Mus musculus: one gene and its partners. The protein of the gene in region 1 purifies or fractionates together with the protein of each later gene. This does not show direct contact. Links are inferred from orthologs where the notes say so. Each region holds a gene or a part of one and is shown in the gene's direction. Other genes may lie near its edges. The genes, in order: Cct4, Wdr5 and Tle2.

Evidence for each region.
Region 2: the proteins of Cct4 (region 1) and Wdr5 purify together in Homo sapiens (affinity purification with mass spectrometry; 3 studies listed by BioGRID and IntAct, with this or other methods). This does not show direct contact. The link is inferred for Mus musculus from reciprocal best matches to the Homo sapiens genes CCT4 and WDR5.
Region 3: the proteins of Cct4 (region 1) and Tle2 purify together in Homo sapiens (affinity purification with mass spectrometry; 3 studies listed by BioGRID and IntAct, with this or other methods). This does not show direct contact. The link is inferred for Mus musculus from reciprocal best matches to the Homo sapiens genes CCT4 and TLE2.

Annotation. Positions count from the first base shown.
Region 1 is NC_000077.6:22,993,828-23,004,063, forward strand, and holds the end of Cct4 (T-complex protein 1 subunit delta), read left to right. Parts: intron 1-470; coding exon 471-560; intron 561-2,102; coding exon 2,103-2,211; intron 2,212-2,487; coding exon 2,488-2,630; intron 2,631-3,205; coding exon 3,206-3,327; intron 3,328-3,775; coding exon 3,776-3,908; intron 3,909-5,205; coding exon 5,206-5,345; intron 5,346-7,030; coding exon 7,031-7,127; intron 7,128-7,534; coding exon 7,535-7,645; intron 7,646-7,732; coding exon 7,733-7,863; intron 7,864-8,339; coding exon 8,340-8,574; intron 8,575-8,989; coding exon 8,990-9,103; intron 9,104-9,309; coding exon 9,310-9,324; 3' UTR 9,325-9,509; downstream 9,510-10,236. UniProt on the Homo sapiens protein: Component of the chaperonin-containing T-complex (TRiC), a molecular chaperone complex that assists the folding of actin, tubulin and other proteins upon ATP hydrolysis.
Region 2 is NC_000068.7:27,528,836-27,538,271, forward strand, and holds the end of Wdr5 (WD repeat-containing protein 5), read left to right. Parts: intron 1-2,803; coding exon 2,804-2,879; intron 2,880-4,157; coding exon 4,158-4,191; intron 4,192-4,501; coding exon 4,502-4,576; intron 4,577-4,932; coding exon 4,933-5,020; intron 5,021-5,921; coding exon 5,922-6,022; 3' UTR 6,023-7,700; downstream 7,701-9,436.
Region 3 is NC_000076.6:81,570,686-81,581,894, forward strand, and holds the start of Tle2 (transducin-like enhancer protein 2), read left to right. Parts: upstream 1-4,601; 5' UTR 4,602-4,982; coding exon 4,983-5,006; intron 5,007-5,119; coding exon 5,120-5,217; intron 5,218-5,550; coding exon 5,551-5,614; intron 5,615-5,843; coding exon 5,844-5,957; intron 5,958-6,646; exon of another isoform or gene 6,647-6,785; coding exon of another isoform or gene 6,786-6,857; intron 6,858-6,943; coding exon 6,944-7,006; intron 7,007-9,571; coding exon 9,572-9,646; exon of another isoform or gene 9,647-9,798; coding exon 9,799-9,982; intron 9,983-10,209; coding exon 10,210-10,229; intron 10,230-10,959; coding exon 10,960-11,070; intron 11,071-11,209.

The DNA of each region.
Region 1 (10,236 bases):
ATTTTTGGATTGATATGTCCTCAAATTAAGAGCTAGTTAGCAACCAAAAATGTGACAAACCAATATGGCTAGCCAAGGGATGTGGGGCATCTGAACTAAGGCCTCCATGCTTGAACTTTACTGAATGATTTCCCTCTAGACTCCTTTACATACCCTGGGCGGGGGCTAGAGAGAGGGGCACATACTGCTCTTACAGAGAGCCCAGGCTGTGCCGCCATTACTAGATGCAGAGGATCTGACACACACACACACACCATCTCTGAGCGCTGTCCTCAAATATATACACATACACACATGTAAGAGAGCAGCCCGGGCAGAGCCCGTTGATCTGAATGTTCTTACATTGTTTTACTAAGGAAAGGTATTTTGAGTTAAGCAATATACATATATAAACTAACTTGTATGTAATAGTAAATGGAATAGAACTAGTAGAATATTGCATTAAAGTTTTAAAAAACAAAACTTTCCAGATTCAAGATGGAAAAGGCGATGTGACCATTACAAATGATGGTGCCACCATTCTGAAACAAATGCAGGTATTGCATCCAGCAGCCAGAATGGTAAGTGTACATGAGTGTTTTGGTTTTTGAGACATAATCCTGTTCAGTAGCCCTAGTGACCTGCTAGTCACTGTAGATCCTTGAACTTGGCAGCAATCCAGCGAGCATATGTATGGGCATGTGCTGTCTTGTTAAGTGGTTTGTTTTTAAGTGTACTTGTAAGATACTCAATAGACTTAAATTTGATACTATTTAAACATGGAGAATCTTTTTAACTTTATGCTAAAAATGTACATTTTTAAGATACTGTTCTTTGTGAGGTGTTCTATTGTAAGTTGTTTTATTTTATTTTTTAATCTTTTTTCTTTTTGTTGATACTGCTGTGGATTGAACCCATGGCATTGTGCAAGCTCAACAAGAACTAAACTAAACACCCACAGTTCTTAGAAAACAAAATAATTTTAATCACATATCAGATGTTCAGTTCTCACTGGTCTTTATCAAAAATTATAATTTAGGAGTCACAATTAGTCTTGTGACAAGTGAGAAGTTGTATTAACAAAAATGAGCTTTAGGAATTGCTCTCTGTTAGAATGGACAGCTGAGTACCGCAGATTCCTATAATCTTCAGTACTCTGAAGCAAAAGGATCATTTGAGCCTATCGTAGACAGCATGCTTCAAAAAGGTCTCCTTCCATTACTTAAAGATGACTTTCTGCCGGGCGTGGTGTCGCACGCCTTTAATCCCAGCACTTGGGAGGCAGAGACAGGTGGATTTCTAAGTTCGAGGCCAGCCTGGTCTACAGAGTGAGTTTCAGGACAGCCAGGGCTGCACAGAGAAACCCTGTCTTAAAAAACAACAACAAAAAAAGGTTGACTTTCTAAATAATGGTATGTTTCTATGTGATCACTTCAGAAAAACTTAATAGAGTTTAAAATAACTTCATAGGTTCTCCGTCTATATAAGATACCTGTACGACTTTTTTTTTTTTAAGGCAGGGTATCATTTTGGCCTGGGCCAGTTTAGAACCTTTAGAACTGCTTTGTAGCAAAAAGGTCCTGGTATTACATGTGTACCACCACATCTCCTTTATGCTGTTTGGGGCTCCAACCCCCAGGGCTTTCTGAGTGCTAGGCAGGCATTCCTGAGCCACATCCTCAACCCTGAGGAGTGATGCTTTTGGACAGGACCTCAGACAGAATTTTCTGAGAACTATTTGTTTGTTTGTTTATTGGGTTTTTCCAAAACAGGGTTTTTCTGTATAGCCCTTGGCTGTCCTGGAACTCACTGTCGACCAGGCTGGCTTCGAATTCAGAAGTCTGCCTGCCTCTTCCTCCCAAGTAATGGGATTAAAGGCTTGCGCCACCACTGCCCTGCCTGAGAACTCTTTACAATCTACAGTTTAAACTAGAAATCATAAGGACAATTTTGTGCGCCATTAATACATGGATTTTCATCTTTAAATGAAACCTAGAGTAAAGTAAAAATCAGATGTCAAGAGGAATGTATTTCTAGCTATGTGTAGGTGACATCGATGTCATGCTCTGAGTTCGCTGTTAGGGTCTCATTTCTTAGCATCTTGTCATGTTCTGTTCACACAGCTGGTGGAATTGTCTAAAGCTCAAGACATAGAAGCAGGAGATGGCACCACGTCGGTTGTCATCATTGCTGGCTCTCTTTTAGACTCCTGTACCAAACTTCTGCAGAAAGGTATGTAGAGTATAATATACTTTTCATTAATGAAGAATGATGGAGAAAAAATTGTTAAAAGGCAAACATAAAAAGCCAAACTATTAAGTAATGTGGGGTTTAATTTTGAAGTAACTACTCTTTTGTCAAGAATTTCTATTTTGCTTCTTATTTTTGCAAGGCTTCTTTTTGTAGAAATAAATAGATTTCTAGGTTATTTTGACATTTTAATGAGTAAAACATTTTAAAATAGTGATAAATAGTTAGGTTGTAATTAACTTGGTTCATAAATGGCAGGTATACATCCAACCATCATTTCCGAGTCATTCCAGAAAGCTTTGGAAAAGGGTCTTGAAATCCTTACTGACATGTCTCGACCTGTGCAACTGAGCGACAGAGAAACTTTGTTAAATAGCGCAACTACTTCATTGAATTCAAAGGTGAGACTACCACTAAGGAGAATTAAATTACAGTTAACGGTGTGCTATGATGTTGTGAGCATTAATTGCTAAACTGTATCTAACACTGCCTCAAGAAGACTAGTAATAATAATTTCTATAACGGAATTGGTTTTAAGATTGAGGTAAAATGATCAGTAGAGCTAACGAAAGAATAAGGAGTTTTTAGCTGGACATGGTGGCACACACCTTTGATTCCAGGACTCAGCAGGTGCAGGCAAGCAGATCTGGTTTGAAGCCAGCCTGGTCTACAAAATACATTCTAGGAAAACCAGGGTTGTACAACTTAGGTAGGAATTCTTCACATAAAATTAAATGCCTTTTTTTCCTTTATTGCTATTTGCAATCTTGATAGTGTCAAGTGTTGTAATAAAAGAAAAGCATATATATTCTTAACTTGTATATGGAGCAATTTGCAAACTGGGTGGAGAAAACAACTTTAACTTTAGTGTCTTATCTACTGTATCCTAATAGGTGATAATAAGTCCTTGTAAATCTAAAGTCGGTATTTCTTAAATTATTGCTTCTGTAGAAGTAACTTTCTGTTGTAAATCTAGGTTGTCTCTCAGTATTCAAGTCTACTCTCTCCAATGAGTGTCAATGCGGTGATGAAAGTGATTGACCCAGCCACAGCTACCAGTGTAGATCTTCGAGATATTAAAATAGTTAAGAAGCTTGGGTAAGCGTCTCTGATTTCAATTTCAGTTTTGCCAAAACCAGATAACTTTGAAGAACAACTAGGGGTGGCTTATACATTTAGTGCCAGCAATTGATTGGCTGAGGTGGGAGGCTAGCTATGAGTTCAAGGCCAGCCTGGAATAAATAGTGAGTTCCATGACAGGCTGAGCTAGAGTGAGGTTCTGTCTCCACAAAACCCTTTAAAAACAAAGATGTTCTTAGTCCGATTACCTTTCTGCCTGGGCCAGTGGATGTAACATAAGTGAAAATAACTCTGAAAGTGAACATTAGAAATACTTGCTGACTTAAACTTTATTATATATGGTATCCTCAAGGGTTTGCCTGTATTTCCTTATGGTAGGATGGAAGTATATCCAAGAGGTCCCAGAATGGGTTCTGAGAATGAGTAAGACCAAAGCATTTCCTCTGCTCTGATTATTTTTTCCTAGTGGGACAATAGATGACTGTGAGCTGGTGGAAGGCCTCGTTCTCACACAGAAAGTAGCAAATTCTGGCATAACAAGAGTTGAAAAGGCTAAGATTGGGCTTATTCAGTTTTGCTTATCTGCTCCTAAAACAGATGTAAGTAAAATCCAAGCTGGTTTCCTACTTATTAACTTTCTAGTAAGATCTGTTTTTTTAAGATGAAAATAGAAAATGCTGGTATTAGTGATGTCTTTAAAATGTAGATTCAAAACAATAAAATTGAGACAAAATCAGAAATTGTTGCTACTACAAGTAATAAGGTGGAGACTGATTATAGGCATTTGCATAAAATAGAAAGGTGTGTGTGTGTGTGTGTGTGTGTGTGTGTGTGTGTGTGTGTTGTACTCATTCCTTGAGTTTGCAGATTGTGTCTAGCTTCCTGAGATATTACCTGCTGGAGCCCACAAAGATTGTGTTTGTGCAAGTGGAGCCTTAGACTAACTTGATAGCCAAACTATAAAAATTTTTTTTATGAAAGATATTACCATATTAGTATGATTCTCTAAAAAGTGTGTTGGTACCTCAGATTTGTTTTTACTATATTCTGCCAACATATAGGTGTGTTCAGTATTTTGTTCAAAAAAATAGCCATATGAAAATTGATCTTTAATTTTTGTGCATTATATATGATGACAAGCCACAGAGTAAAAAGGATGGAATTAAAATTATTTCTGTAATACATATGGTATGTAGAACAACTTCATTTTGGGGAATTTGGATTTTTCAGTTACCAAAAATGCACATGCAAAAAGTTTCAGAAGCAGTAGAGCCTCGTGTGGTCATATGTATCTATATTCTGGTACTCAAAGGATGGTGAATTCAAGGCCAGCTTGAGCTGTGAGCTACATAGTGAGGTCTTGTCTTTCAAACATACAAAATATCAGTAATGGGTGTGACTGAAAAGAATCAGCTGGGGCTGGAGAGATAACTCAGTGGTTAGACTGCTCTTTCAGAAGTCCTGAGTTAAACTCCCAACAACCACATAGTGGCTCACAACCATCTGTAATGGGATAGGATACCCTCTCCTAGTATGTGAAGATAACTGCAGTGTACTCATACATAAAATAAATCTTATATTAAAAAAGAAAAATAAGCTTTAGCCAGGCGGTACTGACAAATGCCTGGCACTTTAGAGGCAGAGGCAGGTAGATCTCCTGAATTCAAGGCCAACCTTGTGTTTGGAGCAAGTTAAGTTCCAGGACAGCTTTGACTATACCAAGAAACCCTGACTTTTAAAAAAAAATACAAAAACAACTGAAATAAAACATAATAGAATGGTTTATTTTAGACCCTTTTCTGTGCATACCTATATAACTGGTAGGTGTGGGCTGGTCTTTCACTTAACATTAAAATCTCTTGCTGAAAATAATTACTGTGTTCTTGTTCCCATCAGATGGATAATCAAATAGTAGTATCTGACTATGCCCAGATGGATCGAGTGCTTCGAGAGGAGAGAGCCTATATTTTAAATTTGGTGAAGCAAATTAAGAAAACAGGATGTAATGTCCTTCTCATACAGAAGTCTATCCTGAGGTCTGTTCTATTTACTTTCTTCTCCCTGGATTTATAATTGAGTTGGGGATCCTACAAGCAACTTTTAAATAATGTGTATGTGCATTGCATGTGTACAGGATCTGGATCCTTGGAGATCAGAAGGAGGTGTTGGATGCCCCGAACTGGAGTTTCTAAGCAGCTGTGAGCTGCTCTGTTAGGAAACTAGGAACTGAACCCAAGCCAAGCCCTCTGCAAGAGTAGCAAGCACTGCTTAACTACTGAGCCATCTTTGCCTCTACCCAGCAGTTCTTAAACACTTAGTCTCTAAAGCACAGGAAATCTAAAGTGCATATTTTGGTGCATCATATTTTCATTTATAAATACAGGACTATTTTCTCTTAAACATGGCCAGTAGGGTTTTTTTAGATCAAGGCTGTAAGAAAATGAAGGTCTAACATAGTTGTTCTTGCCTGCAGTCCTAGTGCTCAGAAGGCTGAGGCTGAAAGGTTACAAGTCGGGCCAGTCTGGGAGAGAGTGAGATGAAAGTGAAAAGACGAACGGGCTTAGTTTTTGAGGTCACTTGTTGCTCAGGGACCCAAGCTTGCCTCCTAGCATCCACATGGTGGCTCACAAACATGTAATGCCAGTTTCAGGGAATGACACACTCTTCTGAACTCCAGGGACAACAGGCATACTCATGGTTCATATGATTGAGTACAGGCAAAACACTTATTTTTAAAAGGAAAAAAAATGAAAACCACATTTTTTAAAAAGCTGTTTAAAACTGTTTGAGGCGAGGGATATAGCTTGTTACTGCTTGCCTACAAGCCTTAGGTTTGATCTCCAGCATGACTTAAACTGGGTGCTGTGTCACATGCCTTTAGTTTTAGTGCTTGAGGCAGGAGGATGGAGTCAATGGCCAGCTACCAGGTAAAATTCTAGGCTATTGTGGGGTGTGTGAAATTGTCTCAAAACGGTGAAAAAACCACTGCTGAACTAATTAACTAAAAAATAGTATTTGTGGGCACTGCATAGACAAGAGAAGTCTCAAATTTGAACTCATCTTTTTCTTTTTCCATTTCTGGGGTGTTTTTTGTTTATTTTTAAATAGATAGACATATTCCCATTTACTTCCCTAATAAGCTATGCCAGAAGGTATAGAGAGTCCTTTGTAAGCAAGTAAGAGGCTGCTCTAGTCTCTAGTCATTTAGTGGCTCTGCCCTTGAGTAAATTGGTTTTTGCTTAGCTTTGATCAGGACGGTAATGTCTGTCTTGCTGGATCACAGGGTTGCTGTTACTAGGATTGGTTTGCTCGTTTGTGAGAATTGTGCTTCTGAATAATGTAAGCGGTCACCTAGCAAAATGTGCTCACTTCTTAAGAATCACAGCCCACTTGTCATGTACAGTTTTGTGTCATAGTAATTTTTCTAGTAAAATTAGAAACCTTCAGAAGAATTTTTGAACTTCTACTGGGTATAATAATGTCCCAAGCCTTTGATCCAGCACTTAGGAAGCAGAGGCAGGCAGATTTCTCAGTTCTAGACAACTAAAGCTACATAGGAAGAGTTTGTCTCAAAAGGAAGAGGGAGAGAATTTTGAACTTGTAAATGGAACATTAAAAGTGTTTCCCTTCATAATTAGCCATTTGGATAAGAGTAAAATTAAAATCTTAACTACTCAACAATAACACTTTTTAAACGTAAGATAACACTTTTGTGTTTTAGAGATGCCCTTAGTGATCTTGCATTACATTTTCTGAATAAGATGAAGATTATGGTGGTTAAGGACGTTGAAAGAGAAGACATTGAATTCATCTGTAAGGTAAAATTAATGTGTGCAAAAATATCCATTAACATGTATTGTGGGTTTGATTTGTATGTTATGGATAGTTGTTTGGTTTAGTTTTTAATTTTAAGTTTTTTTGTTTTGTTTTTATGTATGTGCTTGCATGCATGTATCTCTCTGCACCATATGGTCCTCTTAGAGACCTCATGTGGGCTTCAGGTCCACCTGGAGCTATGAACTGCCATTGGGTACTCTGGAAGAGCACCCAGCCTCTTAACTACTGAACCATGTCTCCAGGCCCAGCAGTGGTTTTTTTTTGTTTTGCAGTCCAGTGTTGAGTCTAGTGCTTTGAATAAAATACCAGACAAGTGCTTGTTCTTCCACTGAGCTTTGTGTCTAGCACAATGCTGTCTTGATATGTGCACTTGATTATCTTTTTCCAGACAATTGGAACCAAACCAGTTGCTCACATTGACCAGTTCACTGCTGACATGCTGGGTTCTGCTGAGTTAGCAGAGGAAGTCAGTTTAAATGGTTCTGGAAAACTATTCAAGGTAACAATATATTGTTAAGCCTTTTTTTCTTACCTTTTTGTTTTTTTCTTTTAGCCAATTACTTAATTTGAAATTTGTTCACTAAAGATTACAGGTTGTACAAGCCCAGGGAAAACAGTTACAATTGTCGTACGTGGTTCTAACAAACTGGTGATTGAAGAAGCTGAGCGCTCCATTCATGATGCTCTCTGTGTCATCCGATGCTTAGTAAAGAAAAGGTACTGCATCATATTTATTACTCTGTGTGTGTGTGTGTGTGTGCGCGCGCGCGCACAATGTAGCATCTCGGGGGGTGGGGTCCTGGGGCAATCTCTTCTTTTCCTACCATCATGTAGGTCCCAGGGATCAAACTTGGGTTGGTGTCAGGCATTTTACATGCTGAGCCATCTTGCTGGCCTCAATATTCTGAAGACTTTAATTTGAGGCTGGGATATAATACCTACCATTGATAACAGTAATTGACCAGTTCAGCCTCCACCCAGCACTGCATACAGCAGATGTGGTGGGGCACATCTGTAACACTTAGGAAGTGGGGGAGGAAGATCAAAAGCTCTGTGTCTTCCTCTACTTTATCCAAGTTACAGGGCAGCTTACCTTTAAAAGACAACCAAACTGCTTTATCTTGACTTTTATAAAGTTAGTAAAGTAGCTTCCTTTGGGGTAAAAATAAGCTAAAAATATTTGTGAATTTCAGAGCTCTTATTGCAGGAGGTGGTGCTCCAGAAATAGAGCTGGCCCTCAGACTGACAGAGTACTCCCGAACACTGAGTGGTATGGAGTCCTACTGTGTTCGTGCTTTCGCGGATGCTATGGAAGTCATTCCATCTACACTAGCTGAAAATGCTGGCCTGAATCCCATTTCTACAGTAACAGAGCTAAGAAACCGCCATGCCCAAGGAGAAAAAACTACAGGCATTAATGTCCGAAAGGTAATAGTCTTGGTGCTTAGAGTTGCTGAAGAACAGATTGGTGGAAGGAAACGTTTACAATTTTGTCATTGTTGGTTAGTAGGCTTTTGAACTTAAAAGTAGTGTGATTTTGGATTTACACCTGAGACCTGGCAAGTTTACTGCATGTTCTTCAGAATAAAGATGATGCCATGGGAAATAGCATTTATTTACTGTCATTTACTAACTTGTAAAACTTAGTCTGGTCTTTGACTTCCTGGGTTGTAAGAACAGTACCTCATAGGTCTTTTGGGAGGGCACTAGTTAAGTAGATATAAAGTGTGAACAGGGTATTCTGTTGTATCAGCAATTAGCATGCCAGATGAGTACAGAAGAGTGATACCTGTGCTCGTGTTTATTGTGTGATCAGATACTGAAGGCATCTGCTTCTCCGCAGGGTGGGATCTCCAACATTTTGGAGGAAATGGTTGTTCAGCCTCTGTTGGTGTCAGTCAGTGCTTTGACCTTAGCAACTGAAACTGTGCGGAGCATTCTGAAAATCGATGATGTGGTAAGCGAATAGAGTTAAATTCCAGGGGAAGTCAAAAAGGCATACTTAAAAGTTTTATATTTTGCTTAAAAGCTTGCTACTCATCAAGAAGAGACTAATTCATGACTAATTTTTTTTCCATAAAAATGAAGCAAAGATTTATCTTAAACATGATTACAAGTTATGTGATTACAAGTTTTGAAACCTAAGTGTTTTTTTCTCATCAGGTAAATACTCGATAATCTGGATAAAAGGATGGTTGACTGCATCATTATGGACAGAAGTACTGTGGCTGGAATGAAGGACAACCACCTTGTTCCTTGTCTGGAAGCTTCAGAGTTTTTGGACATTGTCTTCCAGTTGGCATTTGTTTGAAATTGTATTGAAACAATTTAATGAAAACATTAAATACTTGGTTTTAAACTCCATATTAACTTGTCATTTTAAAATTATACTGTTTTTGATACTTGGGAGAAACTGCCTATAGGTAAACTACCTTCAAATTTTAACATTTACCTATTGATCTTACAGCTTAATTCTGTGTATTAACATTATTTTTGTTTGTTCACTTGTGGTTGTTTGGTTTGTAGGTTTTTGTTTTGTGAGACATCTCAACTGTCCTTGAACATTTGATCTGTGTACCTTCCAAGTGCTAGAATTAACAGATGTACACTGTGACGCCCAGTTTGTACAGCTCTTGAGATTGAAACCCAGGGCATACTACCAAATGAACCGTCCCCCTATCCTGGTTGGTGGTTTTAGTTTTCAGATTGTGCTCATATAGCTGGGCCCGGAATTGATTGTGTCCTGCAGATTATCTCAGCTCTTGATCCTCCCTTGTCAACCTTAAATGAATGCTGAGATTACAGGTGTGTGCCAGATGTTAGGTCTTTAATTTCCTTTTGCCTATTGTGTTTGTATATTGGGGAGGAATGTACATGATAGGGTACTTGGAAATAAGGCAAACTGGAAACAAATCAGTTTTCTTAACCTTGTGGGTTTCAGGGATCAAACTCAACTTGTCAGGCTATTTTGATTACCTCTAGTTGTATTTTATTTTGTTTTGTTGAAATAGCAGGGTATTGTGGTGTACACCTTTAATCCCAGCACTCAGGCCAGCCAGGGCTAAGAGTCCATGGTGGCAAACCAGGAGA
Region 2 (9,436 bases), on another chromosome or scaffold:
CTCCTTAGACTGTTAGGGAAACGAGTGTAGTGCTCTTGGCCTGCCAGGTTGCTAGGATAGAATGCCAAGAATCAGGAGCTCATCCTCTATGGCAGCTTAGGTGGCCAGGGAACAGGTCATGGGTATGGTGACCTCTGATATCACTCTGCCTACAGATGACATGCATACCCTTGTGCTTCTCTGTGCCCAGCTCTTAATGGCATGCTCATATTCAACACCCCTCCCCACCTCAACCATCATCTGTGTGATGTTCTCTTCAAAACTGTCACTTACTTGAGTTGTGAATGGATAGTCTTCATAAGTTTCGGGACACAACCTGGGATAATGGCTTTTAAGCTTTTCTTGCTCTGTGTCCACTCTTGGGGTTTACTGATTTTTCAGAGCAGTCACAGATGTCAGGTAGTAATGTCCTGTCTTACCATCCCCTTCCCCAATCTTCTCTTCCAGGCAACTGTCTGGTGCTGAGTATGTTACTCAGCGGCTATTCCAGCATACCCCTAGTGCTTGTGTATCAACGCTTGTGAACATCTGCTACCCTGTGTCATCCTTCATTTACAGGGCAGCATCTTAGATACAAAAGCCAGCTAGCTAGAAAGCTGCATAGCATGTCTAGTCACCCCTCAGTAATATCTGGGAGAGGGTTGTAAGACTTTCCATTGATCCCAGAATCCTCCGATGCTCAGGTCCTTCCTGTGAGATGGTGCAGTGTTTGCAGGTGACTTGTGTACTTTGTACTGCAGTTTAAGTCTTGAGGTGGTTCAAAACACTGGGTATAGCCCGGCATGGTGTTGCACGCCTTTAATCCCAGCACTTGGGAGGCAGAAGCAGGCGGATTTCTGAGTTCAAGGCCAGCCTCGTCTACAAAGTGAGTTCCAGGACAGCCAGGGCTATACAGAGAAACCCTGTCTTGAAAAACCAAAAAAAAAAAAAAAAAAAAAAAAAACCACTGGGTCTACAGATGTACCGTGCCAGGAGGCAGTGGTTACTGTGGGATGATGTGCAGGCACATATCCAGTTTAGATGCAGCCATTACATGCAGCTCCAAGAGGGAATGCTAGAGTTGGTTACATTTGCTTCAGTTAAACAGTTGTCCTAGGGAACAGTGAAATTCTGTTTCTTTGGTTTTGTGGTGCCCTGCCCTCCCCACCCCTTTTCTTCCCCTCCAGACAGACAGGATTTCCCCTGTGTAGCCCTGGCTGGGCTGGAGCTCATTTTGTAGGCCAGGCTTGTCTTGGACTCAGAGATCTACCAGCTTCTAGAGTGCTGGGATTAAAGATTGTAATTTGATGCCCAACAAAATCTGTGATCTGTGCATTTTCTTTTTTTTTTTTAAATTGGTCTGTGTGTTTCCCAGTATACACATGTCCATGTGCTTGTGTATGTTTTTCCCTGTGCTCAGCACATGTGTAGAGGTCAGAGAAAGCTTTTAGGAGTTAGACTCTTGTACTGTGAGGTCTGTGCATCGAGTGCATGAGCCATCTCAGCAGTGCCTGAAACTTGTAGGTTTTTTTTTTTTTAGGTTTTTCAAGACAGGGTTTCTCCGTATAGCACTACTGGCTGTCCTGGAACTCACTCTGTAGACCAGGCTGGCCTCGAACTCAGAAATCTTTCTGCCTCTGCCTCCCAAGTGCTGGGATTAAAGGCGTGCGCCACCACTGCCCAGCAGGTGCTTTGTTTTATATCTATTGTTGGCTAAACTCTAGTCTGAGAAAGGCAACCAGGTGCATGGCCAGGATTTAGATTTGGGTAGGCAATGGGCAGTAAGGCCTGGATTGAGGTAGGCAGGCCTGTTTGGCCCAAGGTCTATTTCTCTTCTCATCTTCAGGTTTAGACATTAACGTTTAGACATTCTTTTGCAGGGGATGGGATGCTGTTGAGACAGATTTTGTTTATATTTCTGTCTGTCTTGATACTCTGTAGTCCATGCCAGCCTCAAAATGAGATCTGCCTCACCTTTGCACCCTGGAATGCTGGGTGGGATTAAGGGTGTGGCACAGGTCTTGATTTCTGCAGGCATCTGTTTCAGAGGTGGCCTGGAAAGGCGCACAGGTGTTGCTCCATGTCAGCCGAACTAATAGCATTATGTGGCCCAGTTACTCTCTCGTGTCCCTTTCAGTGTTTGTGACCAGTCACGAGAAACGGAGCCCCCTGCGAACCCCCTGTGGTAATGTGTGTGTCAGGGTACACCAGCCTCTTGTATGCACACTTTAGGGCCTGGTATGCTTCCTTGGCTGGCCGAGCAGGCCCACCTCAGGATCCGTTCTCCTTACCCAGGCGAGGGGCAGGGCCCTCCCCGCTCTCCGCATTGGCCCACTGTGCAGAAGGATATGACTTTGTTGTGCTCTGGAAAGCAGCTTTTATGTGGGCAATTTGTTGGAGGCCTGGCTGCTCAGCAGTGCAACACCCCAGCCTTGACCCCGCTTGCCAAATGCTGAGGCTAAAGTCAGCAACCTGGTCTTCAGGAGGCAGAGGCAAGGCCATCAAGAAAGGAGAACTTGCTTGGCTGAAGAATGGGCGGTTGTCTCTAAGACCCCCTAGGTCAGGCAGCTTTCTTCAGGGGATCAGTTCTTCAGCAGTGCTGGAGAGCTTTGGGCCTCCTTCCTTATGTGGTGGAGGCTTGTTGGCAGGGCACTGGGTGAAGACTTAAGAATGTGAACGGCCAGGGAAGGTGATGGCATGTCAAAGCTCTCTGGTGTCCTTCTAGAGTGATGGTGGCAGGGTCCCCACACAGTCAACATGGGTAACTGGGAGCTGACTTGCATCTCGACTCTGCCAAAGATCAGCCTGTTTTTCTTCTGTGTAGATGATGACAATCCTCCAGTGTCCTTCGTGAAGTTCTCTCCAAATGGCAAATACATCCTGGCTGCAACTTTGGACAAGTGAGTGCTTCAGTTCCCTGAGGAGTGAGCTCACAGTCTTCTTCGTTGGTGGGGTTCCTCTCCTGTCTGTTGTGTTGTTTCTTCTCCCAGTTGTCCAGTTGAACTCTTTTATATCTGCATTAAGAGTTCGTTCTTGGGTTGTGGGTTGAGGGGTTGAAGAAAGGACTGTCCACTCTAGCTAGTTTTAGTATGAGAAGGATTTGACACCTAGTTGTTCCTGCCAGTTCCCAGGCTCTGAGCATCTTCACGCAGCATAATCTCACTGCCATACATGATGACCTCCTCTTAGGTGCTCACTTAATCTGGCACACACTGTACAAAGTCTCTAAGGAACCTGGCCAAGTTAGCTCTTGAGAGCTGCCTGAATGGCATTATCCTGGTTAGTTTTTTTTTTTTTTTTTTTTCCATTTTTTATTAGGTATTTCGCTCATTTACATTTGCAATGCTATACCAAAAGTCCCCCATAGACACCCACCCCCTCTCCCCTACCCACTCACTCCCCTTTTATGGCCCTGGCGTTCCCCTGTACTGGGGCATATAAAGTTTGCGTGTCCAATGGGCCTCTCTTTCGAGTGATGGCCGACTAGGCCATCTTTTGATGCATATGCAGCTAGAGTCAAGAGCTCCGGGGTACTGGTTAGTTCATAATGTTGTTCCACCTATAGGGTTGCAGATCCCTTTAGCTTCTTTGGTACTTTCTCTAGCTCCTTCATTGGGGGCCATGTGATCCATCCAATAGCCAACTGTGAGCATCCACTTCTATGTTTGCTAGGCCCAGGCATACTCTGACAAGAGACAGCTATATCAGGGTCCTTTCAGCATAATCTTGCTAGTGTATGCAATGGTGTCAGCATTTGGAAGCTGATTATGGGATGGATCCCCGGATATGCTAGTGTCTACATGGTCCATCCTTTTATCTCAGCTCCAAACTTTGTCTCTGTAACTCCTCTGGTTAGTCTTCCACTCTTCTCCAAGGTCGGCATGAGTCTCTTCCTGTGGCACCTGTACTGGGTGTTTCTGGAGCCAACATGGCTTTCCACATTCTGCTTCTGGCTAACTGCTAGTTTTGGGAAGACAACCAGCAATCTGTTTCTTCAGCCTGTTTCTGAGCTGAGCACTAAGGTCCTTGTGTTTGCTTTTGTGTGTCACGGAGTGGCTGGGCTTGGTGAACTAGAGGATCTTCTTTCCTGACTCACGGTTGTTAGGATACGGTGGCATCAGGGGAGGCAAGGCGTGCCAAAGATGGCCTGCCCCTCACTCCCACTCTCTGTCTTTCAGCACACTGAAGCTCTGGGACTACAGCAAGGGGAAGGTGAGCTTCAGGCATGTGGCCGGTCTGGCCTGCATGCCAGTCCCAGGTAACAGGTTGAGGGGGGTATAGCTAACCCATGAGTTGCAGCAGGAGGGACTTGGGCATCTTCTTCTGATGAGCAAGTATGGTACAACTCCCTTTAAAGATATGTTTTAGGAATGACTAGTCTGCACGTTAAAGTCTGGGCCTTGTGTATGTCTAGAATATTTAGAGAGCATGTTCACACAGTCAGGTGTATGTACCCAGAATTTGGAATGCTCTGGAATGAAAGCTAACCACGGGTGCTAACAATGCACACCTACCTTTTCAGTGCCTGAAGACATACACTGGCCACAAGAATGAGAAGTACTGCATATTTGCCAACTTCTCCGTGACAGGCGGGAAGGTGAGTTTCCACTGAGATGTTGTTATCCTGCTAGCTCTCTAAGAGGCCACCCATCACAGGTGGCTTTTTGTCTTTATGAAGCATCCCTAAGCCTATGGAACAAACCCACACTTGTCGTTTTGAATGAATCTGTGGTGTGTTGCACTTGGATATGGTTGAAGATCTAAGAGCAGGTGGTGACTGGATAGATCCAGTGACTGAGGGTGCCGTGGGAGGCATTTAGCATGTCCCTAAATTGGGGAAATAGGTATTAATTAGAGTAACCGCAGCCAGCTTGCCTGTGCTACCTATTCAGCATATCACCTGATGTCTTTCTTGCCTGTCCTCACTGCCTGCTTGTTCTTTCGATGCTGCAGTGGATTGTGTCTGGTTCTGAAGATAACCTGGTGTATATCTGGAATCTGCAGACCAAGGAGATTGTGCAGAAGTTGCAGGGTCACACAGGTGGGTAGTTATTGCAGATAGGCCACACGGGTGGGTGGAGCCACCCAGGGGAGCCTCTCAGTTCCCCAAGGTGCTTGGTTGTCTCTGGGGTTTAGGGACACACAGCAGGTGTTGCTACTCTGTTTTCCCTGCCATCCCAGCCCTGCAGGCCTGAGAAGGCCTATGATCAGCCTTGGAGGCAGCATCAAGGGCTCTTATCTAGGGTCTTGGACATGGCTGGCTTTTGGGTCTTAAGTCAGACTCAAGCCTCATAGGAATATAGCTTGTTTACTTCACTTTAGAGACTAGGACTCCATGAATATGGAGAGTGTCTAGCCCACATTTCCTGTAGGCTCAGCCTCTTTCAGGGATGCTGGTTTTCTGTTTCCCCTGCAAAACTTAGTCCAGCTATGGAGTTACCTCATTCTAGTTCTTCCCTGTCTACTTTCTGAAGCGGGCCAGGGATGGCAGGGATATCATGTGCTCCTTTGCAACCCTAAGGAGTGGAGAGCTCGTTTTCTGAAAAAGCAGTTGTCTTCAGCTGGGAGTGGCTTGGTCACACTTGCTGTGGAACCTGAGCACCAGGGAGCAAGCAGGGTTAGTGGACTGCATGCCATCTCAGTAATGCCAGTATCCCTGCCCAGATGTATGGTTACCTTGTGCTCAGGTAGAACAACCTCAGGAATAGTAGGGGGCAAGTGGGCATAGTCAGTCCTGAGACCAGTGTAGACAGGTGTGCAGACCCTGCTGGGTACCCACCAAGTGCCTTGTGCCCAGCAGAGCAAGGCTAAGATGCCTGTTACTATTCTGGCATTCTGAGCACTCCCCTGAACCCTGCGGTGCTCCCTGTGCTCCTGAGGGCAGTGAGGCATGTGCTGGGACTGCTTGTCCTAGAGTGGCTCCCTGACTACTCTCCTTTCAGATGTTGTGATTTCCACGGCTTGTCACCCGACAGAGAACATCATTGCCTCAGCAGCGTTAGAGAACGACAAAACAATCAAACTGTGGAAGAGTGACTGCTAAGTCCTGGCTCCATGGGAGACTTAAGGAAGCCACCCGGATTGGCAAGAAACACATGTGGGGCAGAGGCATGGGGCCAGGCTGGGTTGACAGGCCTGGTGCACCTCCTATCTGAAGATGTCGGCTCAGGGGAGTGCACACTACCGAGTCTTGATAGCCACTGTGATATTTCTTGCCAATTCTGTCTCTGCCTGGGGAAGTTCCTGGTCTGTTCTGTGCTCAGAGGCAACAAATTTTTAATTTTTTTATTACAAGAGTGAGTTCAGCTCCTCATGGGTTGTTTTTCTCTGTGGTTGTTGTTTTGGTATTGTATTGCCCAGTGCACACTGGAACAGGACCTACAGCCCTACTCCCATTCCCTGCCTCCTGCCCTGGCCTGCTTGTTCAATTTTCCTGCCTGTAATAGTACCCAGCGTGCTTCCATGAGTTTCTGGAAACACAGAAAGGTTGTAAGTTGTATCCGTGTCAAGTCCCTTTGTTCTTTTGGAGTTCATAGGTCAACACTGACCTCTCAGTGGTTGAAATGTCTCCTTGTCTCACTGGTATCACTCAGTAAGCTACACACACTGTAATAAAAGGTGGGTATGGACTGGGTGTGGCCCTGAGTTCTGACCAGGCTCTTTGACACCTGGCTTTATAAAGCCCTCCTCCCTTCCTGGCAGGAGTTGGAAAGGTCTCTGGGAGGATGGATCCTTGTTGTGCCTCTTCTTCCCAGTGGCTGCTGTGGGTGCTGAGTGTTGGAGAGGAAGAACCTCAGATGAGAAAGAGTGGAAGGAAGTCTTGGAAAGGCACCATGTAGTGAGGTTCTGGACCTCTTTATTCTGTGAGAGGCTCAGGGTCACCTGTGCAGGAGGGAGGAGTTCAATATGGTGCTTGCCCCAGCAGGTACAGCTTCCTGCCTTGGCCTCTAAACCCACCAAACCTCTCTTATGTCCTTGGCCCCCGCCCCAGGTCACCGCCTCAGGTGACCAGGACTGGAAAGAGGTAGTGGCCAAGCTCAGGACTACACAGCATTTTCACAACTGCTGCTGGCTGAACCCAGGGTGACCTACTGTGGAGCAGACTGCAGAGGTTCTGGGAGTACAGATGGGTGGCGGAGGCTGCTGGGCACAGACATGGGTGGAAAGGAGATTCTGGGTTTGCTCTGGTTGCAGCAGCAACCATCTGTGAGGCCAACACTGATGTGTATTGAAGCCACATCACCCAGGGCAGTAGCTGCTCTACTCTGCCTTTGCCAAGGCTTGTCCCCAGCTGTGGTCCTGACAGCCCTTTCTCCCTCCATCGTGCATAATAAGAATCCAAAGGTATTGGAAAAGAAACCCCATACATTGTCACTTCCTTGAGGGAGATGGTGTGTAAATGGGCTATCACATCGAAGAAGCCATTGTTAAAGAGGGTGGCTTGTCACACTGACATGGGCTCTGGGGCCCCTGGCGTCTGTTGGATAGATGAACCTGGGTTCTGGTCAATGTTGTGGGCATGTTGCTGGGGTTTCTGGAGGGTAGTAAGGTCCTTCCAGCTGTGGCCTGGTGTGCGGCCTCCTCCTGAGGGAGGGAGCTTGCTTGCCATGTCGAGCACAGTATCCCCGAGTATAGTTTATTTTTTCTACAGTTGAACTCTGTTGTAGATTTATGTAAAAATACATTCTCTTTTTAAAAATAAAGATTTTCATGCCTTGTAATTTTGTTCCATATAAGTTTGTTTTTTCCAGGAATTCATTCTGTGTGCATTCATTGGGTGTGTGGAGATCAGAGGATTACCTGTCATTCCCTCCCACTTGGTTGGCACTCAATAAGGATTTCTTTAGCAGAACAGGCAGTGGAGGAGCACACCTTTAGTTCCAGCACTCAGGAGGGTCTAAGTTCAAGCAAAGCCTGTCTGCGGAGCTAGTGCTAGGATTACACAAACCAAGGCTCAAATAACAACCAAAGGGAGAAAAAAAATTTTTTTTAAAGATTTATTTATTCATTATATGTAAGTACACTGTAGCTGTCTTCAGACACTCCAGAAGAGGGCGTCAGATCTCATTACGGGTGGTTGTGAGCCACCATGTGGTTGCTGGGATTTGAACTCAGGACCTCTTGAAGAGCAGTCAGTGCTCTCAAGTGCTAAGCCATCTGCTCAGCACAACCCCTCCCCAAAAAATTTGCTTTTCTTTTAGGTAATGTGCATATGTGTGATGGTTCATGTGTGTAGAGTGATGCCAGATAACTTTCTTGATAGCTCCCCACCTCAGTAGTTCTCTTACTTGAACCCAAAGCTTTCCAATTTGGCTAGTCTAGCCGGGCAGCATAACTGGGAGCCTTGTGGATGCTGGGAAGGCGGGCAGGCTGCTGTGCCTGCCCTGCATTTACACCAGTGCTAGGGATGCATGCTGATTCTCAGGTCTATGTGGCAAGTGTATTATCCACTCAGCTGTCTTCCCTGCTCCCAAGTCTGCATAATTTACTTTTGATGGGTTTAATGTAAATCTCTGAAGTACGGTGTCATGGATCCTGTGTCAGTAGCTTTAGTATAAGTGGCTTTGGAACTGGGCACAAGCAGCTGTTCATGCAACATTGGCCTAATGGAATGGCTTTATATGGATTTCTGCTGGGTGCCCTGTGTTCTTGGTGTACACAGGCTGTGACCTTTTCTGGGCAGACATGAACTAAAGTCTAGTTACTAAGACTAGAGAACTTAAGGTCTAACCCAGGTAACAAATCCAACTTGATCAGTGAGTGTCCTAAACCAGCCAGCCCAGCCTGAGTGACAGCCCTGGAGCTCCCCAAGCCAGTGGGAGGCACAGTGGGAGTCTCTGCTTAGCATTTTTAAAGATGTGCCCCATGTTGGTGGCACACATTTAATCCCAGGTATGGGACCCATGGATCTCTTGTCAGTTCAGGGCCAGCCTGGTCTACAGAGCTAGTTCCAGAATGGCCCAGAAATATTTGCTTTATGTATACGAGTGCTTTGTGTTTATATCCCATGTGTGTGTCTGGTGGCTATGGAGGCCAGAAGAGTGGGTCTGATCCTTGTGATGGTTGTGAGTGGACCTGAGTTCTGGAAGAGCAGCTAGTGCTCTTGAACCTTGAGCCAGCCTCTCCCTAGCAATTGGGGAGGAGCCTTATAAGTCCTGTAGCTTTCAGTTTATTGGGACTAAGTTTCTTTTTGGAGTTCATGAGCCTCCCTCCACCTTCCAAGAGAAGTGTGTTGCTCCATGGCCCAATGCCTTAAAGGTTTCCACCTTCCTTTTTGGCTAAGGACTTGGTTCTAGCCGTGTGGGCCTGAGTATGACTGCCTGTCAGTGGGTTCCTGAGGAGGGGTGCAGCCCTGACACCTTTGCGAGTGGGTCTGTTTATCCCCAGGGTGTATCAGCTTTGAAACTCCTTGGTGTTTTTTTGGGATTGTTTTAAAATGACCTCAATTTTGCATATT
Region 3 (11,209 bases), on another chromosome or scaffold:
CTCCCCCGTATTCTTAAGGAGAAAATGATTGTGTGTGCGCTCCTGTGCGTGATTTCCCACCCCCCCCCCCCCCCCGCCAAGACAGGCAGGGAACTGGGGCTCGGAGGTCACCCGTGAGCCCTGGCCAGCAGGAGGGGACCGGCCTGGCTGGTGGCCCAGTGGCTCAGCTGGGGGCGCGGGGAAGGGGAGGCTGGCGCTGTCGGAAGCCAAAGGCTTTGGCCTCCCTGAGGGAGTCGCTTTCCCGGCCCGGGTCGGATCAATGGGCTGTAATTATACCGCGCCGGGCCGGGAGCCGATGGGGAGGGAGCGGGAGCTGGCAGGAGGGAAGCGGCGGGCGGGGGCGCAGACCCACGTTACTTTGATTGACAGCCAGAGCAGATGCGGCGCGCGGTAGCTTCTGGGATTCGTAGTTTTTGTTGTTTTTTTTTTCCGGTCCAGAATGCTTGCTCGCAATAGCAATGTCCACTCTGGTAAATTGAGGCACACCCGGCACCTCCAACCTCACAACTCCCTGTAAACCTATTCTACCCCCTCTTGTGATCTAATGGGTCAAACTAACTAAGCTTGGGAAGTTAGCTGGGACAAAAATCAAATCGCAGCCATTCCCTAAACGGCCAAGTTGCCTTCTTTGCCTCAGTTTGTTTCTATCTCTGAAACAGGCCGAAGGAAGCTTTGGCTGCTGAGCCTTGGCAAGGTAGCCACCGAGTTGAAGGACTTACTTTTATTTTTTTTAATATAAAATGTTTTGAGACAGTAGTCCACGTTAAGCTCGACATGACAACGGTCCTCCTGCCTCAGCTTCTCAAGTGCTGGAATACCAGGAATCCGCTACCACGGTCAGCTTCAAGGGGCTTTTACTTTTAAAAGGGGGTCCAAGATCCTCAGGGACCACCACGCGGGGCCCCACTCACGAGGGGTGGGGGGTGTCGGGGAGGAGGAGCTGCACGCCCCAGCCCCATCGGGAGCTTTCCTATTGGACTATCCCAGACCACCGTTCTCTGTTATTGGCTACAGGGTACCCAGCCTTCATTGGCCAGTGCTTTTGGTGACGTCAGAGACCCATGTGGGATCTTCGGGAGCTGATTGGCTGGCATACCCGACCAACCAAGGAGGAGATAGACGGGTCCCTCGGCAGCGGGGCGGCTAGTCTGATTTAAGGTGGTCCGAGCAGTCCCGGCTCTGAGTAGTAGATTTTTCCCTTTTCTGTTTTTTATTTGCACCGCGCAGAACTACGGAGCCTGTGTGCACACTGAGGCAGGGGCGCACTTTGAGGCGCTGAGCCCCACTTTGCAAAGTGTAGGATCCATGACCAGGCTGAATGGGAAAAAGTGGCCCAGGAAGGTGGGAAATGCTGAGGGTGCTCCCCACTTCGGGTGTGGTGTCTGTCCAGGGATGGGGTTCAGGCATTCTAAAAGGAAACCCCTGATCATATCCTCTGCTTCCACGGAAGCTCAGAGGCTGTGGCTTCCCAGGCCGCACAACAGAGGGGCAGTGGCCCCCTTCCAGGAGCTCCCACCCTCTAGGAGGCTCCCTTTGGCCTTGGGTTCCTTCACAGTTGCCCTTCTTTGGGGAGGCTGCAGCGGGTGGCCTTGGGCTGATCTTAGAATAAGATGGAGATAGCTTTAGGGGGGAGAAGAGATTCCAGGAAAAGAGAACTCAAATTAGGTCATTCAATCATGACAGGGTACCTGAATAGGGGAGGGTAGAGGGTGTGGCCAGCACAAATAGTGCTAAGAGGGAATGTGTCCTCCGGGTAATAGAAAACCAGCGGAGAGTGTATAGGCTTAGAGAACCGAGGTTGAGGGTCACTAGCAGGAAGGGTGCTGCGTGGGACATGGGGGTGGGGCTGGTCTGAGCAAATCTTGGCAGTGTAAGCACGGTGACACACACCTGCGACCCTGACTCCCCAGATGAGACCAGCCTGGGTTAGATTGGGAAACGCAACCAATAGCAAACAAGCTTGATTTGGGGAGATGGTGAGGGTTGGCAAAGGCGATAGCTCAGGGAGTGGAGATTCTGGAGTCCCGGGGGCCTCTGGGGATCAGAAGTTCTCAGACACCAAAAGCCGGGAATCAGGAACCGCTGGGGCCTGGGGACAGCTTGTGGGACACTGTTTTCTCAGACTTCCCAGGAGCCAGGTGTGTTCCTCGGTCTGCAAGGGAAAAATGAGTAAACAGTAAAGCAGAAACTAGGGCTGAGGAGTAAGATGCCGTGTTTCTAGTAGCAGGTGCTGGGAGGCGCTTCAAGGCACCAGCACAGGCCTCTGCAGGGGAGAGGATGAGTGGCCAGAACCTGAAAGAATGGTCCATGTAGAAGGACCTACACCTTGTACAGCGCCTGCGACAGCCTTAAGGCTGGGCAACGCCTAGGATGCTGGAGAGTATGGCGGTCCAGATACTGAGAGTGCTCCACCCCTGGCCATGGCTCCAGCCACTTACTGGAGGATGCTAGGGTGGGGAATGGGGTGAAGGGGGGCTCCACTACTAATCACGCCCCAGCCTCCTCGCTGGAGGATTCTAGGCTGGGATCCACCCTTGACCACGCCCCCAGTCCCCTCTCGGGGATTCTGGCAGATGCTCCAAGGAGTTACAGAACACTCATTCTCAGAGGGCTAACTGTCTAGGTCAGAAAGACTGTCACTTTCTGGGCCCACGGACTTTGTAAAGTTCCATCTACAATGTTAACCTTACTGAGCGCTCTCCCACACATATGATCGCAGTGGCTCATGTTTGTTCCTCTGTCATCGCTTGTCTAAATTGTTGCTTTTCATACAGCTCCTGACCAGCCAGCTGTGATCTTGGCTGCTCTGTGGCTCATCTCCCAGAGTTTGATCAGAGAGAGCTCCATTCTGTCCTTTTATCCTGGAAGTCCTAGGTTTTCAGCTAGTATCCTCCTGCTGTAGAGCGCTGGCCCCGTGCAAGTCTCATAAAGGCCCCTGTCCTCTGTAGCTGACTTAGCTGCCCACAGAGATCCAAACGTTAATGTGGATGTGAGGTCTTTCCCCTATGATTGTTGCCCACTGTTTCCCAGTGCATAGTAGTTCACAGTAGCACCAGGCATACATTTATTGATTGATTTAATGATGGACCAGAGCTCAGGTTTCTTTCCTTGGTTTTTTTTTTTCCCTCCCTCTCCCTGAGACAAGGTTTCTCTGTGTAGAACCTGGTTGTCCTGAAACTTGCTCTGTAGATATCTTAGTTAAGATTTTACTGCTGTAAACAGACACCATGACCAAGGCAATTGGGGCTGGCTTACAGAGTCAGAGGGTCAGTCCATAATCATCGAGACAGGTGCATGAAGGCCTCCAGGCAGGCATGGTACAGGAGGAGCAGAGAGTTCTGTGTCTTCTTCTGAAGGCCCCTAGAAGAAGTCTGACTAAGGCACTTGGCAGAGCTTCAAAGCCCACTCCCAGAGTGGCATACTTCCTCCAACAAGACTACACCTACTCCAACAAGGCCACACCTCCAAATAGTGCTACTCCCTGGGCCAAGCATGGTCAAACCACCACAGTAGACCAAGCTGTCCTGAAACTCAGAGAGATCTGCCTGCCTCTGCATTTCAAGTGCTGGGATTGAAGGTGTGGGTCCCCTCCTTCCTCTTCTGAGGTCTAGTCCTGCCAGAGTTGGAAACAAAGGATGATTCCTGGGGGGAAGGGGGTTTCCATGGTGACAGGTGGCTTCTCAGCTCTGGGGGACACCCTTAAACTTGATGGGATGTAGGAGGTGGCCTGATGGCACACAGAGGCCTGTTGTCCCAGCTACTACAGGGACTGAGAATTCCAAGCTCAAGCTTTGCAGGGGCAACTTAGCAAGGCCTTGCCTCCAAAAGTAAAAGGGGGCTGGGGGCGTGGTCAAGAGTGGAGTCTCTAATCCCTAGTGAGGGGCTGGGGGCGTGGTCATGGGTGACTTCTGCCTAGAATCCCTCGGTGAAGGGCTGGGGGTGTGGTCAGAGGTAGAGCTGCTGCCTAGAATCTCCCAGTGAAGGTCTGGGGGCGGGGTCAGTGGTGAAGCCCCTGCAGAAGATTTTCTAGTGTTCCGGTTCAAGATACACAAGAGTTCTATGCACTAAGTTTAAAGAGTCTGGTCCTTTAGGAGCCCAATCTGGATAGAGGAGGCCACCCAGTTGGCTGGTGGTGGCACTAGCATGCAAGTCTGTAGTGGGCTCTGAGCCTGACCAAGCTGCCCTGGGCTCTGTCCTGGATCTCTCCAGAGTGGGGCAGCATTGGTTGACAAGCATAGCCTGGGTCTGCTCTTCCTGGGACAGGTGTGTATCTCTCTCTCTTTCGATCTTGGGGATGTTTATCCTTCATAAGGGCATAGTGTCGCTGTCCCAGAGAAGCCACTTGCAGCCCCCACGGCTCCAGAGGCGCGCGCACAGAGATTTTTTTTTTTTTTTTGCCTAATTTCTCTCCCCCCGGTTTTTTTTTTTTTTTTGAGTGGGGGTGGGGCGGGAACACTAGGATCGAACCCAAGCCTCAGTTTCCCCAGCGGGTCTTGGAACCGAAGAAGCAGAGCAGGCGGGGGCGGCGGTGCCACCTTAAGGCGGGTCCCGCCCGCGGCTCCCAGCCGAGCCCCGCGGAGGGAGGCGGCTCCGCAGCCACTGAGGCCACCAGCGCCGACCCCGGGCGGCGGCCACAGACCTGCGGCGCTGACTGCAGCTGCCCCTGGGTTGTACAACCCCGGACGCGCTGGCTGGAGGGGGGGCGCAGCGCGGGGTCCTGGTCCCCTGCCCCGACAGGCTCTCCCTGGCTGCTCTTTCTTTGCGTAAAAATCCCTCCCCCAGCTCCGGCTTCTCTCCTAGCTTTTCCAGGCTCAGTCTCCTTGCACCCCAGCTCTAGCTTAGCACCCCAAATTCTACTGCCTGCTCCTCCCCGCACCCAATTCTCTCCCCAGCGCCACCTCTGCACCTCAGCGTCCCTTTGCCACATCCTCAAGCCTCCAAGAAGCTGGGGGGGTCCATTCTCTCACCCATCCATCAGCAGGATGTACCCTCAGGGAAGGCACCCGGTGAGTACGGAGACTCCCATCTCTGGCTGCAGGAGGTGGGGACCAGGGAGGGGACTCCTGCCTGCTGTTGCCCTGGAACTCACCCTAGTGTCCTTTCCCACTCTCCCCCTCAGACCCCGCTGCAGTCTGGCCAGCCTTTCAAGTTCTCAGTACTGGAAATCTGTGACCGGATCAAAGAGGAATTCCAGTTTCTTCAAGCTCAGTACCACAGGTGAGGGAGCCCTAGTTCTGGGCCCTGGGAAGCCCCATGGGGGTGAGCGGGGACTCTTGGAGGGGCGTGGTTTCTAGGGCAAGGGGCGGGGCTCATTGGGCCTACTGGAGGGCTTTCTGGTGGAGGTGGTGCCCAGAAGAGTGTGAGATGAATGGATTCAGGGAAAGCCTTCCCTGAGAATGTTTTGGTCCCAGGAGTAGATCTGGGCTCGAGAGGACTGGGAACAGTTTCTAAAGGAATGGGGAGCCAGCAGCTTCTGCCTGTCACTGTGGAAACTGACCCATGTGGGGTGTGGCAAGTCAACCCCCATTTTTGTCTATTCTTCCTGCCCAGCCTCAAGCTAGAATGTGAGAAGCTGGCCAGCGAGAAGACAGAAATGCAAAGGCATTATGTGATGGTAAGGAGTACCTGCCCATTCTGCCCACTTCCGTGTTCTCCCTAAAAAGGGCAGGCTGGGATACCAGGCACTGTTCTGTGGGTCTCCCCCCCCCTCCAATTTGGGGGACTACCTGATTGTCCTATCTCTCTGAGCCCATCCGTGATCCATCTTGTGGGTTCCCTGTCTGGGTCTCCATGGGGCTCAGGGTGTTTGTGTCTTGCCCTGATACTCGTACCACCCCCTCGAGGCTGCACCCCATCAGTGTCCCCAGGGTGGCACCAGCTATCCACACTGGCCAAGACTGTCTCCTTTGCAGTACTACGAGATGTCCTACGGACTCAACATTGAGATGCATAAACAGGTGACCATGTGGGGTACGGGTGTCTGCGGGGAGGGTCTAACTAAGTTCATCCACATTTCAGGTGGTCATCCCAAAGGTTCTGAGTGGATCTGAGATTTGAGATAGCCCTGAAGGTTCTGAGGGTTCAAGGATCTGAGATAGCCCTGAAAGTTCTGAGATAACTGACAGTTCCAAGGACTGGAGGTTCTGAGATAGCCCTGAAGGTTCTGAGGGCTTGAGCTTCTGAGATAGCATTTGGAGTTGCATGGTTGATCCCATGGGCTTCTGAGACTCCAGCCTATGGTGTTAGGGTTCTGAGATACACTCTATGTGGAGATTGACTTTGAGGTCTGTAATTAACCCTGAGTCCCCAAAGTGGCCAGTGGCTCTAGGGGGTCCTGAGGGTTCAGAGATCTGTTGATGAGTGGATTTATAGGTTTTGCCCCCGAACACTCATGATTCCATGCTGGAGCCCTACCCTAGGCTCCTTTCTGTGCAGGTAGATGCTGAGTGAGCCTCACCTGCCATTTGCTTCCCCTGGTTTCTGTGGGACTTGGTGCTGATGTGGGCAGCAGAGAGCTGGTCCTTACTGGTCCTTGCCTGGTGGAGGACACAGGCCTTGTAGGCGACCAGAGGCAACCACAGAACAGCCCCCCAAAGACCTGCAGAGAGCTGGGTCATGCCAGACAAACACACACTCTTTCACACAGGTTTCTAGGGCCTCGGGGAATGACCACAGTGCTGCCTTGGGCATCATCGGTCCATCTATGTTTGCATCTCTGAGGGCTTCATAGGGCGGTGGGGAGGTGTCACAGACTTGCAGGACTCCCTAGCCAGGCAGCTCCACGAATGCTCAGTCCAGCTGGGGGCTGGATGGTGGAAGTGACTGTCCCTTCCAGTGCTGGCGGCTGGATGGTGGAGGTGACTGTCCCCTCTAGTGCTGGGGGCTGGATGGTGGAGGTGACTGTCCCCCTCCAGTGCCACCCAGCTTGTTGCTTCTCTACCAGGCTGAGATTGTGAAACGCCTCAGTGCGATCTGTGCCCAGATGGTCCCGTTCCTCACTCAGGAGGTGAGTGTGCAGAGTCTTGGAGGCAGGGAGGGTGTCCTGGGCCTGGTTAGACACTGGCTGAGGGTGAGGACCAAGGGCATTCTGCCCTTCATATGTCCATGAGTGTGCATATCATGAGGACAGAGAGAGGTCAGCCTTGGTGTGTGCGCTTCCCACGGTGCCATTCTCCTTTGATTGCTTTTATTACACTTTAATGCATTTATTTAATTTTATATGTATGGGTGTTTTGTCCACATATCTGTGCACCATATGTGTGCAGTACCCTCAGAGACCAGAGGAGGACGCTGTGTCCTCTGAAATTGGAGTTACAGATGGGTTGTGAGCCATCATGTGGGTGCCAGGAATCGAACCCTGGTCCCTTGAGAGAGCAGCCAGAGCTCTTAGCCACTGAGCCAACCCATAATTTATTTTTTTTGGGAAGAGGTGCATAGGCCATAGCAGACATGTGGAGGCCAGAAGTCAACTTGCAGGAATGGGTCCTCTCCTCCCACTATGTGGTTTGCAAAGATTGAACTAAGGTTGTTGTTGGCTTGGCTGCAATATCTTTACCTACTGAGATATCTTGCCATCCCACCCCCTCTAAATAGGCAGGGACTCTGACTGGCCTGGAAGCTGTCTAGTCAGTGAGTCCCAGGGTCTTCCTGTCTCCTCACCGGTGCTAGAATCGTACACACACTCCATGCCTGGCTTTTTTCAGTGTTTCTGGGGAATCGAACTTAGGTCCCTATGTTCCCATGACAAGCATTTTACCGACTCAGCCATTTCTCTAACCCTGGCTCTCTGCTCTGGATGGAGCTAGCTAGGGGTGCTCCTGTACCCATGGCTTACATCTGCTGGTACAAGTCCTGACTTGGTGTCCTTAGGCAAGATACATGCCTCTCTGTGCTTACCTACTGGTTAGGGTGTCCTGAGAGTTAGGTGAGCAATTATGGGACTAATCTTACAGGATGACTCTTGGTGACTCTTGCCAGGGCACACACAGGACACTCTGCAGATTTCCATTCCCAAGAACTCTGAAGTTATCAAATCCAGGGCCAGGAAGTGCCATGGTGGGTGAGTGGGGCTGGGGAGAGAGCAGGGACAGAGCTTCAGTTAAGGGAGTTGGAAAGCTCCAGAGATGATGGTGGGGAAAGCCACAGGGCCCTGCGAATGAGCTTCATGTTCATCCATGTACTTGAGATGGCTCCGATTAGCAAGTTTTGTTAGGCATTTTTAGGACAGTGATTTTGAAAACACAGCATCAGTACAGACAGAGGCTGACCCACCAGTGTGACTAGCTCGTGAAACATCAGAAAGCTCCGTGGCCTGCCTTGCTCCTGCTGACCATAGGACCTTGGTGTTGGCCATTGCCACTTCTGTGTGGAGGTGTTCCTCCAGAGACATGGGCAGGTCCCACCCCAGGATGGGCACACTGGGTACCCCACACAGCCAGCAACCTCAGCTTTTCTGTGGGACCTGCTGCCTTTCCCCTGAGGGTGGGTGACAGATCATCTCAGTGAGGCCACCAGCCATGTATGCTCAAGTTTATTGAATCCATCCATATTTAATGTTGTTGTGCTGGGGATAAGCATGCTGGGTGGGTCCTCTCCTGACCTGCATGCCCAGCCCCAGGCTGCACATTCTGAGGTGGATGCTTAGTATGTGGATACTTGGCAAGTGGGTCCTTAGTAGGTAGGTACTTGGCCTGTGGGTAGTTGGTATGTGGGTGCTTGGTTTATGTGTACTTGGCATGTAGGTAGTTGGTATGTGGGTACTTGGCAAGTAGCTGCTTGGTATGTGTGTACTTGGCATGTGGGTACTTGGTTTATGAGTATTTGGCCTGTGGGTAGTTGATATGTGGGTACTTGGCATTAGGTGCTTGGTTTATGAGTACTTGGCATGTGGGTACTTGGTTTATGAGTATTTGGCCTGTGGGTAGTTGATATGTGGGTACTTGGCATGTAGGTGCTTGGTTTATGAATACTTGGCATGTAGGTGCTTAGTGTATGAGTACTTGGCATGTGGGTACTTGGGCACTTGGCGTGTGGATGCTTGGAATACAGGTATTTTATTTTCTATGTGGTGCTTATTCATGACACACTGTATATGTGGACAGAGTGTGGCGTCACGCGGAGCTCCTAGCAAGTGATTTGAGGCTGGGACACTGCCCAGCATCCCTAGGGGTCCAGTAGGCCCTGCAAAGCATGACCTGGAACTGTGGCCCCAGAGCCTGTGGAAGAGGCCAGGTCTCTGAAGTGTCAGTTAAGCAGTCAGAGAGGGTCTGGGGAAGGTGTCCCACAAGCATGAGGACCTGAGTTCAAATCCCCAGCAACTGGGAAAAGTGAGGGGTGGTGTTCCTTGCCTGTAACTGCAGCAGGGGAGACAGGGACAGAAGGAGATCCTAGGGCTACTGGCTAGATTCCAGCTGGGCTGTGAGAGCCACCTCAAAATACGGTGAAAGACAGCAGCAGCCTCCACCCTCCACATGCAGAAATACACATAGACAGACAGACAGACAGACAGACAGACAGACAGAGTTGGACTGCACAGCCTGTGGCTTAGTGCCCACATCCCCTTTGGCCCTAGCATCAGCAGCAGGTGCTCCAGGCTGTGGACCGAGCCAAGCAGGTGACCGTGGGGGAACTGAACAGCCTCCTGGGGGTAAGTCGCCCCAGCTGGTCTTAGGAGATGCCCTGCTCCCAGCCCAGGCACGCAGTGGGTGCTAACCTCCCTGCACTTAGCATTCACCCTCTGTGCACCCTGTCCCCGCCACTCGCTGCCCGCCTCCCCCAGGCCATCCTCTCCCCATTCAGCAGCAGAATCAGCTCCAGCCGCTGTCCCACGCACCCCCCGTGCCTCTCACCCCGCGCCCAGCCGGCCTGGTGGGTGCCGGGGCCACTGGGCTGCTGGCCCTATCTGGGGCACTGGCTGCGCAGGCCCAGCTGGTGGCTGCCGTAAAGGAAGACCGTGTGGGTGTGGACGCCGAGGGGTCCAGAGGTGAGTGGGCGACCCATTGCTGGCGGGACGGTGACAGCTAGTAGGGGCTGCAGCTGTGGGGTTCAATGTTCGTGCTGTTTGTCCTTGGGAACACATTAGCTGTTCCTGCAGAGGCATCTCCCTGGGATGTGGGAGGTCGGGTTCTGACCCGGAAGGAGCGTTCCACCCACTGAAGCCTTGCAGGGTTACAAACCCCTAATCATCTGTTTCCTTTCGGCTTCCTGCAGTGGACAGAGCTGCCAGCAGGGTGAGTGCCCACTGCGAGAAACTGCTTGTGTTCAAGTAGGCTAGGGGATTGTGGGTGCAGCATGTCCCCAGCCTTCACCACCTGGGCTCTGCGAGGACACCAGCGTCACCACATCCAAAGTACAGGATGCCAGGGCTAGAACTCAGGGCCTGGTGAATGAGATATGAGCACTGTTGTTTTATGAGACAGGGTCTCACTCACAGAGATCCTCCTGCTTCTTGGATTCTGACATTAGAACCACTGAGCCAGCTATGGTTTATTTAATTTGAGGCATGGTCTTGCTTTGTAGCCCATACTACATTGAATTTAGGATAATCCTTCTGCCTCCGTGTCTTAAATTCTGCTATACGGGTGTGCCTCAGCAAGTCCTGCCTGGGTCCTCACGCAGGCAGACTTCTTGCTCAGCTGAGAGCTCCCATCCCCCACTCTCAAGGTTTTTGAGTGTTTTTGAGTTTTTGGTGAGTTACAAGTCTCACTGTAATGCATTTTCATAGAACTCAGTTTTCCCATCTGTACAATAGTTCACTACTCTATTAGCTGACAGAGGCAGAGAATTTAGCAGTGAAGCTGAAGTAGAGCCCTGCCTAGAATCCTAGAATCCCCAGTGAGGGGCTGAGGGCATGGTCAGGGATGTGCCCCCCCACACACCTAGGATCCCCCAATGAGGACCATTCAGTGTTGGCCGGACAAGAATGTAGTCTGGGAACCCACCTTACATCCTTCCTTGTAGAGTTCTTCCCCGTCTCCCCCTGAGAGTCTGGTGGAAGAGGACCATCCCAGCAGCCGAGGCGGCAGTGGGAAACAGCAGAGAGCTGAAGACAAGGATCTGTCAGGGCCTTATGTGAGTTCGGGAGAGAGAAGCAGAGGGCTGGGGTGGACAGGGGTGGACCAGGACTGGTCCTGGTCAGATCCATGGGAACTGTGTCCATGGTGCTCACTTCTATAGCCTCCCAGAGTCTGTGGAGTGCCTGCTAATCAAA